Tribolium castaneum: one gene and its partner. The protein of the gene in region 2 interacts with the protein of the main gene of each other region in a pairwise test. Links are inferred from orthologs where the notes say so. Each region holds a gene or a part of one and is shown on either strand. Other genes may lie near its edges.

Evidence for each region. The genes of interacting proteins can lie anywhere in the genome.
Region 1: the proteins of Calr (region 2) and Ubc6 interact in a two-hybrid assay, tested with the Caenorhabditis elegans proteins (2 studies listed by BioGRID). The link is inferred for Tribolium castaneum from reciprocal best matches to the Caenorhabditis elegans genes crt-1 and ubc-1.

What each region holds. Positions count from the first base shown.
Region 1 is NC_087400.1:6,408,437-6,413,654, forward strand, and holds Ubc6 (ubiquitin-conjugating enzyme E2-17 kDa), read right to left. Parts: upstream 3,620-5,218; 5' UTR 3,443-3,619; coding exon 3,399-3,442; intron 3,311-3,398; coding exon 3,025-3,310; intron 1,411-3,024; coding exon 1,285-1,410; 3' UTR 895-1,284; downstream 1-894. Other genes in the region: Atac3 (GA-binding protein subunit beta-1), read left to right, coding at 1-269, 483-650. UniProt on the Caenorhabditis elegans protein: Catalyzes the covalent attachment of ubiquitin to other proteins.
Region 2 is NC_087395.1:13,847,051-13,852,516, reverse strand, and holds the start of Calr (calreticulin), read right to left. Parts: upstream 3,500-5,466; 5' UTR 3,347-3,499; coding exon 3,259-3,346; intron 3,163-3,258; coding exon 3,058-3,162; intron 26-3,057; coding exon 1-25. UniProt on the Caenorhabditis elegans protein: Molecular calcium-binding chaperone promoting folding, oligomeric assembly and quality control in the endoplasmic reticulum (ER) via the calreticulin/calnexin cycle.

The DNA of each region.
Region 1 (5,218 bases), on a different chromosome or scaffold from region 2:
CGACGGTTATGGAGACTGGACATTCGGTTGTGTTAACGGATGCCGGAAAACAGGTTTTAAACGCAATCAAAGAGTCAGAACAGAAGGCGAATGCCATAAATAAAAAGATCATAACCGTCACACCACAAGAATTTTTGTCAATGGCGTCAAATTGTAAGAACAAGTCCAAAAACATAATTAAACAAATCAACGGACGGCTCGTTCCAAAGAATGTGAAACGGATTGTCATGAAGAAGAATAAACTGATCCCAGTCTCGACTGTAAATAATGTAAGAGTTTTTGTGGCGTTTTAAAGGCAAATTTTTGCTTTACCACAGTCTCCTTGATAGGAGTCAATGTCACACAGCTTGCTATTTCATATTTTTTGACTGTAGTTATTTAAAAATCACGAGATGGCGCTCTGTTGAGTCCATCAAGGAGGCGTCTACTTAATTTTTGATCTGATTAAAATCAGGGGCCACTTTGATTAAATTATTTTGCAGATGTATAAAATCTCGGGTCCTAACGGCGTCACGGACATGGAGACAGTGATGACGCAGTTGATCGAGGCGCGAAAAACGATAGAAGAATACAAAATAAAACTGCTGAAAAAAGAGCAAGAAGCCGAGCGGTACAAACAGCAATTAAAATTGTTAATGGATGATAGCTAGTATCGCTGATTTGCCATATTTTTAATTGAATGGGTTATAAATAGCGCAATTTGTCCGGATTTTACCGGAAATGTGCTGTTGGTGGCTCGTTATCTGAAGCGTAATTGAACTTAATTACTATTTTTGTACATTAATATTCGAGTCTTCTTGTATTTTGCGAGTGATAACTTGTGTAATTTATTTGTTTTTAATTTTTTGTAATGTTGTTGAACTAATGTTGATAAAAAAGAACGAAATGAAAGACTTGTTTTTTCTTATAATAATTTATTTAAGTATATGCATAACACATTTAAATACCCTTGATGAGGTGAAATCGTACGAATAGGGGAAAACATAAAGAGATTAACACAACTTATTAAATAAATGTGTAACAAATTGAAAGTACTTAAAAAATACATAATATTTTCTTTTTAAAAAATTTACTTACACTGTTATTGAATACATACTGATAAATCGTGACTGAAATTAATTTAGAACCGGGAAAAATTGTCCAACTTGATAAAATATCTAGTGAGTTGCAGACGACAAATCAGTTTTTGAATATTTTGAGATTGAAGCAACTTAGAACGATACGCGTGGCTGTAATTTAGAAGCACAGAAAGTAGCTCAGGTATACACACTTCTTGCCAAGGCGCTAGTCGATAAAGCTCTGCTCCACACACGCTTTTACTCGCTTCTCGTATTCTCTTCTGTTTTCTTTATAGAGTTGTGCGGCCATCGAGTTCGCTGGAGAGTTCGGGTTGGGGTCGCTCAGTAACGACTAGCAAAAATTTCCAAATTACAAAAAATACTTAAATAATCTGGGCGATAATACACGAAATCGTCTTGCAAAATGCTCATTTCCTGTGTTTTTTTCGGCAATTACAACACTTTTTTACATCTTATCAGCGCTATTTTTAACTAATTGTTTCACGTTATTGGAAAAATAACGCGCGCTTGTGATAAAAACAAACTGACATCTACCAATGTGTTTGAGTTTACGAGAACTCATTTTTCTGAACCCAAAAATTTAGTAGGTGGAATTAAAATGACGAAAGGAACGTTAATAAGCTGAGAAAAGCTCTGGACTAAAAATTTCCGTGACAAAACTAAGAAAAATATAATGAAATGGGGAATTAAATTTCCAAGAAAAAAGTCCGCATCAAAGTATCCACATTTCTTATCCATTTTGTTTTATTTTTAATTTCATTATTTTAGGTATAGTATAACAATTAATAAATTAAATGCATTGTTAAAACACTGCAATAGTTTAAATATTCTGAAGTGTGTTTTGAAGTGATTTCAAATAAAAATAATGTTCTTTGATTAACACAAAATTATTATTCATAAGAGCCTTTTTGTTGAATTAATAACCGTCTTATTTACTTAATTTGTTTGTTTCACTTGCTTTAGCTTTGTTAAAAATACTATGCAAAAATGAAGACGTATCAAGTTTCTCTCATTATGATAACATCGCTGATTAAATTACATCTTCAGTTCAAAACATTTTTATTTGATTTTTTACTGAAACTTAGTAAAATATTTTGATTTTTCACTTGCTTTGAGTACTTTTTGAGCAAAATTTTTTCAAAAATAAGCCGAAAAAACTACAATGTTTGGTCGAAAATGTACTTTTCAAGCAAGTTATGATACTAGTTCGAAGTCATATTCTCAGTTTATTACGAGAAATAGATTGAAAACTTTCAAGTAGTTTTTCTTATTTTTTTATAAATCGAAATTTCACCAAGTTAGACCAAAAATTGTGTGATTATTAGTAATTTCTATTGTGGTGATGAGCATAGACTTTTGTCATTAAATATGTTTAAAATGACTAACAGTTTTTTGTGAATTGGCTATTAAATTAAAGGTGCTTTAGACTTCCGCAACCTACTTGATGCACACTGACGTGGAAAAAATAGTAGGAATATATTTTGGTGTCCCTGATCTAGTAGGGCAACAAAACACGTCTATCAAACTTGACAGTCATAACAACCTTCTAGATAAATAAATAAAAAATTCTTGTCCGTTTGTTTTTACCCAAAACCTCAGATATTTGACTACTTCAATGAATAGTTATTTTTAGCTCGATTTATTTTTAATATTCATACATTATGTAATTGCACTACGGCCATTACAGCTGATTAAAATTTACAATCAACCTTGAATTTTTACGAGGAAAGTTAAAAACAGGCGATTTGTTTAATCAAAATAAAAAATAAGGGCAATTCCTTTGTGTTTGGTGCAACTAATGAAAATGGTCGCATTTTTTTGCAAAAACGTCTAATTGTGTTGTTGAGCGTGAGGACTGTATTTTGGTCCAAGAAATGAGCCGGAGTCAGACAGGTTCAAAGCAAAAAATCGCCCAATGAAGGTTAGCTGTCAATGACCTACTTACTTGAATTGAAGTTAAAATCGCCGAGACATCGTACGTGGGGCTCCACCTGTTCTGTAAAATGTCTAAACAGATGCCCCCATCGGCGTAAACGTTGGGATGAAACATATGACTCACAAATCGGACCGTGGGCGGTTTATTGGGATATTCTTCTGTGAATTCGATAGTTAATTTAAAGGTGCCATCCTCGAAGGGCGTATCGTGGGGGCCAAAGATGACGGCGTTCCATATCATAATGTTATTGTCTGTGGGGGCGCCGCTGACTCCCGTGGGGGGGTCCTCCTGCAACCTGCAGGAGAATCGCATCGAAATTGAGCAAATGTGGGCGCAAAACACAAGCAAATGGGGGAAATTAGAGGAAATAGTTGGTTACGAACCGTTTGAAATCTCTCATGAGGCGTCGTCGGGCCGGAGTCGACATTTTTTCATAAAATAAATTAAATAAAAAACTAGCTAGGGGAGTGGTAATGTAGCTAAATTATACAAATACGGAAATTTACAACTGTACAAATTAATTTATTTTACTTCTAAAACACTATGAAACTCGCACTCGCATGACATACGAGAAAGGACGACTTATAAACAAAAATAGCACTAAGATTAGGAACGATGATGAATAGGTTATTCCGACTAGGGATTTTCACCGAAAGTCACTAGAATTTCAACACCAAATTACTTGAATAGAATAGAATAGAATGGTGGACAAAACCACCACAATCGTCCAGCTACTGGCGCCCCAATAACGACATTGTGCCCCTTTACGCCTCACCCAAGGTATGATTTATGTTAAAAAACATTTTTTAAAAAATTTCGCTGAAGACAGCACCAAAAATGGTGCTGGCACCATGAACATTACAGTCGACCAGACAATCGCTGCGAGCAAAAATTATCAAAATAATGGTAAATCGGTATAAAAACATCCATAAGCTGTTATGCTGACTTGTATATCACATTTTTAGATCATCTCCTGACCATTGTACATGTAATTTCTGCATTTTTTATTCTCATATTCAAGCAATGCAAACTGATTTTTTTTCACCCCCTTTATATCCCGCAATTTTCTTTATTTTTGCAGGAGATTAAGCCCTTCGATTGGGCCTTCGACTGTAAAAAAATCATGTTCGGACAAACACCCCTTAGGACCTTAATAAATTTTTAAAGATTCTTTAAGATTTCCCGATTTCGCAAACTTTTTTATACCCACTTTATGTCCTGCTTTTTTATTTTTGCAGAAGATTAAGCCCTCTGATAGGGCCTTCGACTGTAAAAAAATCATGTTCGGACAAACACCTCTTGGGACCTTAACGAATTTTTTATTTTTTTCTATAGTTTCTCTATTCTGCAAACTTTATTTTTTTTCACCCACTTTATATCCTGCACTTTTCTTTATTTTTGCAGGAGACTAAGCCCTTCGATAGGGCCTTCGACTGCAAAAAAATCATCTTCGGACAAACACCCCTTGGGACCTTAACGAATTTTTTTAATTTTTAAATAGTTTCGCTATTTTGCAAACTTTATTTTTTTATCCACTTTATATCCTGCAATTTTCCGTATTTTTGCAGGAGATTAAGCCCTTCGATAGTGCCTTCGACTGTAAAAAAATCATGTTCGGACAAACACCCCTTGGGACCTTAATGAATTTTTAAAGATTCTTTAAGATTTCCCGATTTCGTAAACTTTATTTTTTTTACCCACTTTATATCCTGCATTTTTTTTATTTTTGCAGAAGATTAAGCCCTCTGATAGGGCCTTCGACTGTAAAAAAATCATGTTTGGACAAACACCCCTTGGGACCTTAACGAATTTTTTTAATTTTTATAAAGTTTCTCGATTTTGCAACCTTTATTTTTTTTCACCCATTTTATATCCTGCAATTTTCTGTATTTTTGCAGGAGACTGAGCCCTTCGATAAAGCCTTCGACTGTAAAAAAATCATGTTCGGACAAACACCTCTTGGCACCTTAATGATTTTTTTAAATTTTTATATAGTTTCTCTATTTTGCAAACTTTATTTTTTTTCACCCACTTTATATCTTACAGTTTTCTTTATTTTTGCAGGAGATTAAGCCCTTCGATTGTAAGAAAATGTTCGGACAAACACCCCTTGGGACCTTTTTTTATCAGCAATACTTATTACAGTTAAGGATTGCTCTAATTAGTCAAATTAATAACTAATTTGTCCAGCAAGAACCACGTG
Region 2 (5,466 bases):
CGGGCATCCTGTGACGTTTGAATACCTGTAAGGAGAAATCTGTGAGTCTACGGCGGAGGTGGTTGCGTAATTTCCCGGTTTGGTAAGAAATATACCAAAAAGGACACATTTTGCAAAAAAAGGTCATGCAAATCCACACAGTATAAAAATAATTGGTTACTTTATTATAAATGTAAATCGTGTATTTTTATGTAAACAAGTAATTCAATTATATAATTGTTTTGTAATAATTATTCATTAAAACCCCAGAGTGATTATAGTATGCTTTTCTGCATTGTAGCTTGTATTGTACAAAGTGTTCCAAGTTTTATGGCCGAGGCAAAAATATAAATACTTCTAGTCGAGTAAAAAAATAAATTAAGAGTCTAAAAAGTAGGGAATTGATTATCCATTGGATACTTTGATAATGTTCAAAATTTTTAAGGTGTCAACTATTTTGCTAGTCGTACACCCTTTAAATAAAATCTGTTTTCAGAAAAAAATATGAAAATCTTATGCGCGATTAGCGTAAAAACCATAGAATGTCAAAATATTCTGAAAATAAAAAACAAATAAATCAATCAAGATTATCTACCCCCTTGGTATCTATCATCTACTATCCCCCTTTTTTGACAAAATCCTGAATTTTGCAAAAAAGAAACAATAAAAAATGACTTGAAAATTCTGAATTTTATTAATTAATTTCTGACAACACGTGTATATTCCGCCACTTCAATTTAACACAAAATTTCATTTTCAAAATCCGAAAAAGAAAAAACAATTTTTCAAAATGAGAGGTCCAGAAATTATCCAAAGGCTGACGTAGAAAATAATTTATCCCCAATCACATTATAATTGGAGCTTTATCCACACTTACGAAGCAATAAAGTGACCTATCATCCACTAGTAGAATAAAGTAACTATTGGAATAAAGTAATAAAGAGGTGACGCCCTTGCGTGGATAAAATGCTTTCTAAAACACTTACACAACAAATAACCCTTTTATTTTGTAAAAAAATCCTTTTCATTAAATAATTGGTGATTATTCTAACTTGTCTGATTTTTCTTATCAATAGACAGTTTATTAACAAAGACTTAAAGCTACGACATTTTATTTCAAAAAGGGTTAAATTTAAACCTTTGCGAATCTTGCGAACAAAAATTAAAAAAAAAAAACGGTCAACAGACGGAGATTCGATTCTGCTCTATTCTTTCATTTATTAATTTTCTTACTTTAAGGGTGGAGGTAAACAATTTCTTTTTGAATCGCATTTCACCAGATGATTAATAAATTGAAAGAAAAAGTACCTTCTTTCATAAAAATGAAACTATTTTATCTAAAAATGGGCAAACCTAAGACCAAATGTCTTAAGAACAAAAAATAAAAAATCGATTCAGTGAAGAAGTTGGAGATTCCTCTTATTATTGTTTATTATTTCTTGTTAAAACAACAAATTTGTTTTCAGAACATTTAAATTTCCCGCTATTTCCCAACGGTACGATTTTAGATTTGACCACAAGAAAGCGTTTTAGTTTCAACTCATGCAACACGTAGTCAATTTTTTATTGGTGTCGCGATTTTATTTTACATAGAACACAGTCCTTTTTAGTGGCTATTTATGACATAAGTGGGACCACCACATTTGAACTTTCCCGCGCATTATTTCAAAACGGGAATTCAAATTCAAATTCAAATCTTACGGGCTTTTTATTACTTCCTCGTTACAAGTCCTATTTTAATTTTTGTCGTTTTAAAATATCATAATGCAAATGTAACAAAATATTTTTCTAGGTATTCTTTGTTACAATATACACTGAGGTTTTTTGCAATGGATTCACATGGACTTTTTAAAACTGAACAGCGGATAATACAATTTTTTTGTTGGTAAAATTTTAAGCCTTCTTTTTAATATCTGAATCCTAGATTATAAACACTATTTTAAAACACTCCAACAAAACAAATTTGAATAACACTTATACGAAAACGCTTAAAGTTCTCGGGTGTCTAGGTATGCAACTCGCATACGCTCGTTGCATAACGACAACCCTCGAACTTTAAGCTTGTGTTTTCGTACTCGTATTATTAATAACTATAATACTGTTATGTAATATTTAGCGAAATAAATTCTTCACCATATAATACAACAGTTCTAAAGATTCTAATAATACATTGATTAACAAAAGTGGACCAATATTTGGTTTCCTATTAAAGAAAAAACAATATCTCAATTTAATATTATCAAAACTTTGCAAATATCCAAGTTTTCGAAACACGAACTAAACTTTTTAGGCCAAAGCAAGATGAATTGGCATCGTACATTGTTGAAAAAGTGAAAACACAACGACGTCAAAGCCAAAAATAAATTCAAATTAGTTTATTTAACTTTAATTTTGAGAGTCACTGTGTGTGAACTAAGTTAAATTCTGTCAAAATTCTCTTAAATATTACTATTTCAGTTAATCTAAAAATAAAACTTGCTTAATGAATTGCGAACTAAGTTAAACCCTGTAATTAAGTATGTCGTATCAATGAATAGAATTTTAACAATTTTCTCAAATGTATCTAACAAAAATTATGGAAAAATTATAAGTGTCCATATGTCACATTATCAGTTGTCTTGTTGGCCAAAAAATTATTCGAATTTATCATCCAAATTATCGCGAATTATGACATAAAGCAAATACATTTCTTATCTCCTGTTATCCAACAGATAACCACAAGTTCTACCACTCAAAAGAAATTTTAAAATCGAGACTAGGGGACGCATTGAAAGCAAAATTGATTAATGATCACCCTTTTAAAGACACATTAGCTTACTCCTAATGAACAAATAAGTAATTTGAAATAAATTATTGTAATTTTGTACATTTGAGATCAATAATAATCAGTCATCTATTATGCAAAAAGGAAACCACTTTCCAGACTTGATTATATTTAAACAACTCTATCAAAACTGAGTTTTGGTAGGTGACAATTTCATGTTTTCGAAACATTTGTGTATGAAAAATACGTGAAAACGTACGTTTTCATCAAAACTACAGTTAGGAAAACGGTAACAAGAGCAAACCCATCATTACCTTTGTCTTCTTCCTCATTGTTGAAAAATTTCCCGGCTGTCCACTTGAATTTTCCAAACTCTTTCCCCGGGTGTTTACTGTATATCCAATTCTTTTCCCAGGAATCTGCAATTGTGGAAAATTAGCATTGTCTTCGCAAATGCGAGTTTCTTGAACTTCCTCCTGAACCGGCGTGGAAAACCTAGCCCCCAAAAAACTTACCATCTTGGAATTTTTCTTCAAGATATACTTCAGCATTCGATGCATAAAAATACGCACAAAACATAAACACTAAGAAAGAGGACTTCATTTTATAATAATTTTACCAAAAATATTACAATCGACAACGTCAAATTCTCGCCACGAATCTACCGCAAATGCCAGAAAAATAGTGAGACAGACGTATACAAACCGAAGTAAATCGCTTATCGCAATATGTCTATCGCTCTCGCACTCACGCGATTTCGGGTGAAAGGACGGGAAAGTACGTCCGTGATACGTGACTAATACGACAGATGGAATGATGTGATTGGCTGAGGCAAACGCGGTGTACATTGGCGGCGATAAACGTAGAGAATTTGTCCTTGTCTCGCGCAAACACCGACCAATTGATTAAATGCGAACGTGTACCAATCCCTTGTACAGTTGGAGGCTCCTGATTGGCGGGTTTCAAGTGGTTACGACATGAGGCGCGCATTCAAATATTTCGCCCTAATCTTATCTTTCTCATTGACACTGTTTTATCGGCTTTGTGAAATCGCAATTGCGAAATTCGCCGGTTTGGGACATCAGGCAATTATATTTTTGTAATTTTTGTGGACGTTTTATGGTTTGATAAATCTCTGGTCGATTATTTACGATTCCGGTGATTGGGTATATGGGCGTTGTTATCTGCAATTTCTTAATACTCTCCTTAAAACAATCGATTATTTGCGTGAAAATGACGGATTGCCTCATTTCGTATCGCAGTTTCAAATCTACCGCTTCTGTATGCAAGGAAAGTAAAAAGATCAACTTTGAAAACAAAGAAATAAACTTGATCGCCTACATTTGAAAGTAAAAGTTCAGTAGAGTGCATTAAACACAAACGAAACACGTTCCTCCAAGAAGCAACATGTAAAAACGTCCGAACAAAGGTAAGTACCGTAAGATGTGATTCGAGTTCAATTTATTTGGTGTAAAAATGTTAAATGCAGTGAGTTTAAGTGAAAAAAATCGTGCTCAAGTCGTTTACCTTGAACTAGCAAAGACATAAAGAACGGAACAGTAACTTAAGTCATGTTACCTTCCATTGATCTCTTGTATTTATAACAAAAATGTGAGGTAAGTTTTAAAAATAGACCAAAAAAGGATTGACCATTCGTAAAAAAACAATAAAATCGCAAAATATCCTCCGATCGAAAGTGAGTAGAATTTCACCTTTTATCTATCATTTTCTTGAATATCATGCTAATTTTTTGTTAAAATGACATGAATAAAGCAATCTAAAACTATACAAGTAAATAACTTTCTAAAATAAATAAGTTTTGGAGAAAATTTGCATCAGCTTTCTTTGAGTTAATTTTTTGCGTTTTGCAGAAACGACTATGAAAAATGTCTTCAGTCAACGATAGAAAAATAAGGGACGTGCGTGATATATGGAACTGCAACAAGGAGGTGGACAAGGAGAATCCGCGAGTTCCAGTCGTCGAAAACAATGTAGATAATCGCACCAAACACAAATACAAGACTTTAGAACGACACCTAAGTATGAAAAAGACTATTCGGAAGAAAATGATGCGAGACTTGAGGGAAATAGGGGATGCGGCCGTCGAACCGAACTCTCCGACGCAAACAGCGGGATTCTTAGAACAAATTAAGAACGATCAACCTCCACCTGCCAATATAGACAAACCTAGTTTGTGGAAAAGACTTACGAAAGGGTGGGGTCATGCTTAAACGGTTTTATGACCTGTTTGTGATTGTTTGTAGCTTCCGGGAGCTTACTTAAATGATTTGCAAACAGTATTTATAGTGAATTAGCTATAGCTTTAAGTTACGCTGTTCCTAAAAAGTATTTTCTAATAACATAGTAATGCAGAATTGTGGTGTTATGATATTTATTTTATAGCATGTTACCAGGTTTCTTTGTTGTGTATAATAAATCCAGGAAAGCAAATTTGTTGCTGCGTTCTCTGCTATTAATTTTGTTAGGTGGATATCAATTCACTACATTTCGCTTTAAATACATAGCTGGTTGACTTTATTGTGCACATGTTCCAATAAAATAGTTTTCAAAAAGTGTCGCCATTTGTTAATCCCCACATTTACGACGGATTAGTCTCGCAGGTGAAGGTTGGTAATAAATACTTGGATTCCAATAAATCATAAAAATTGTAATATTAGCACATCATTTCTTTCTTTGAAAAATACGAGGACTAAAAAGTCAAA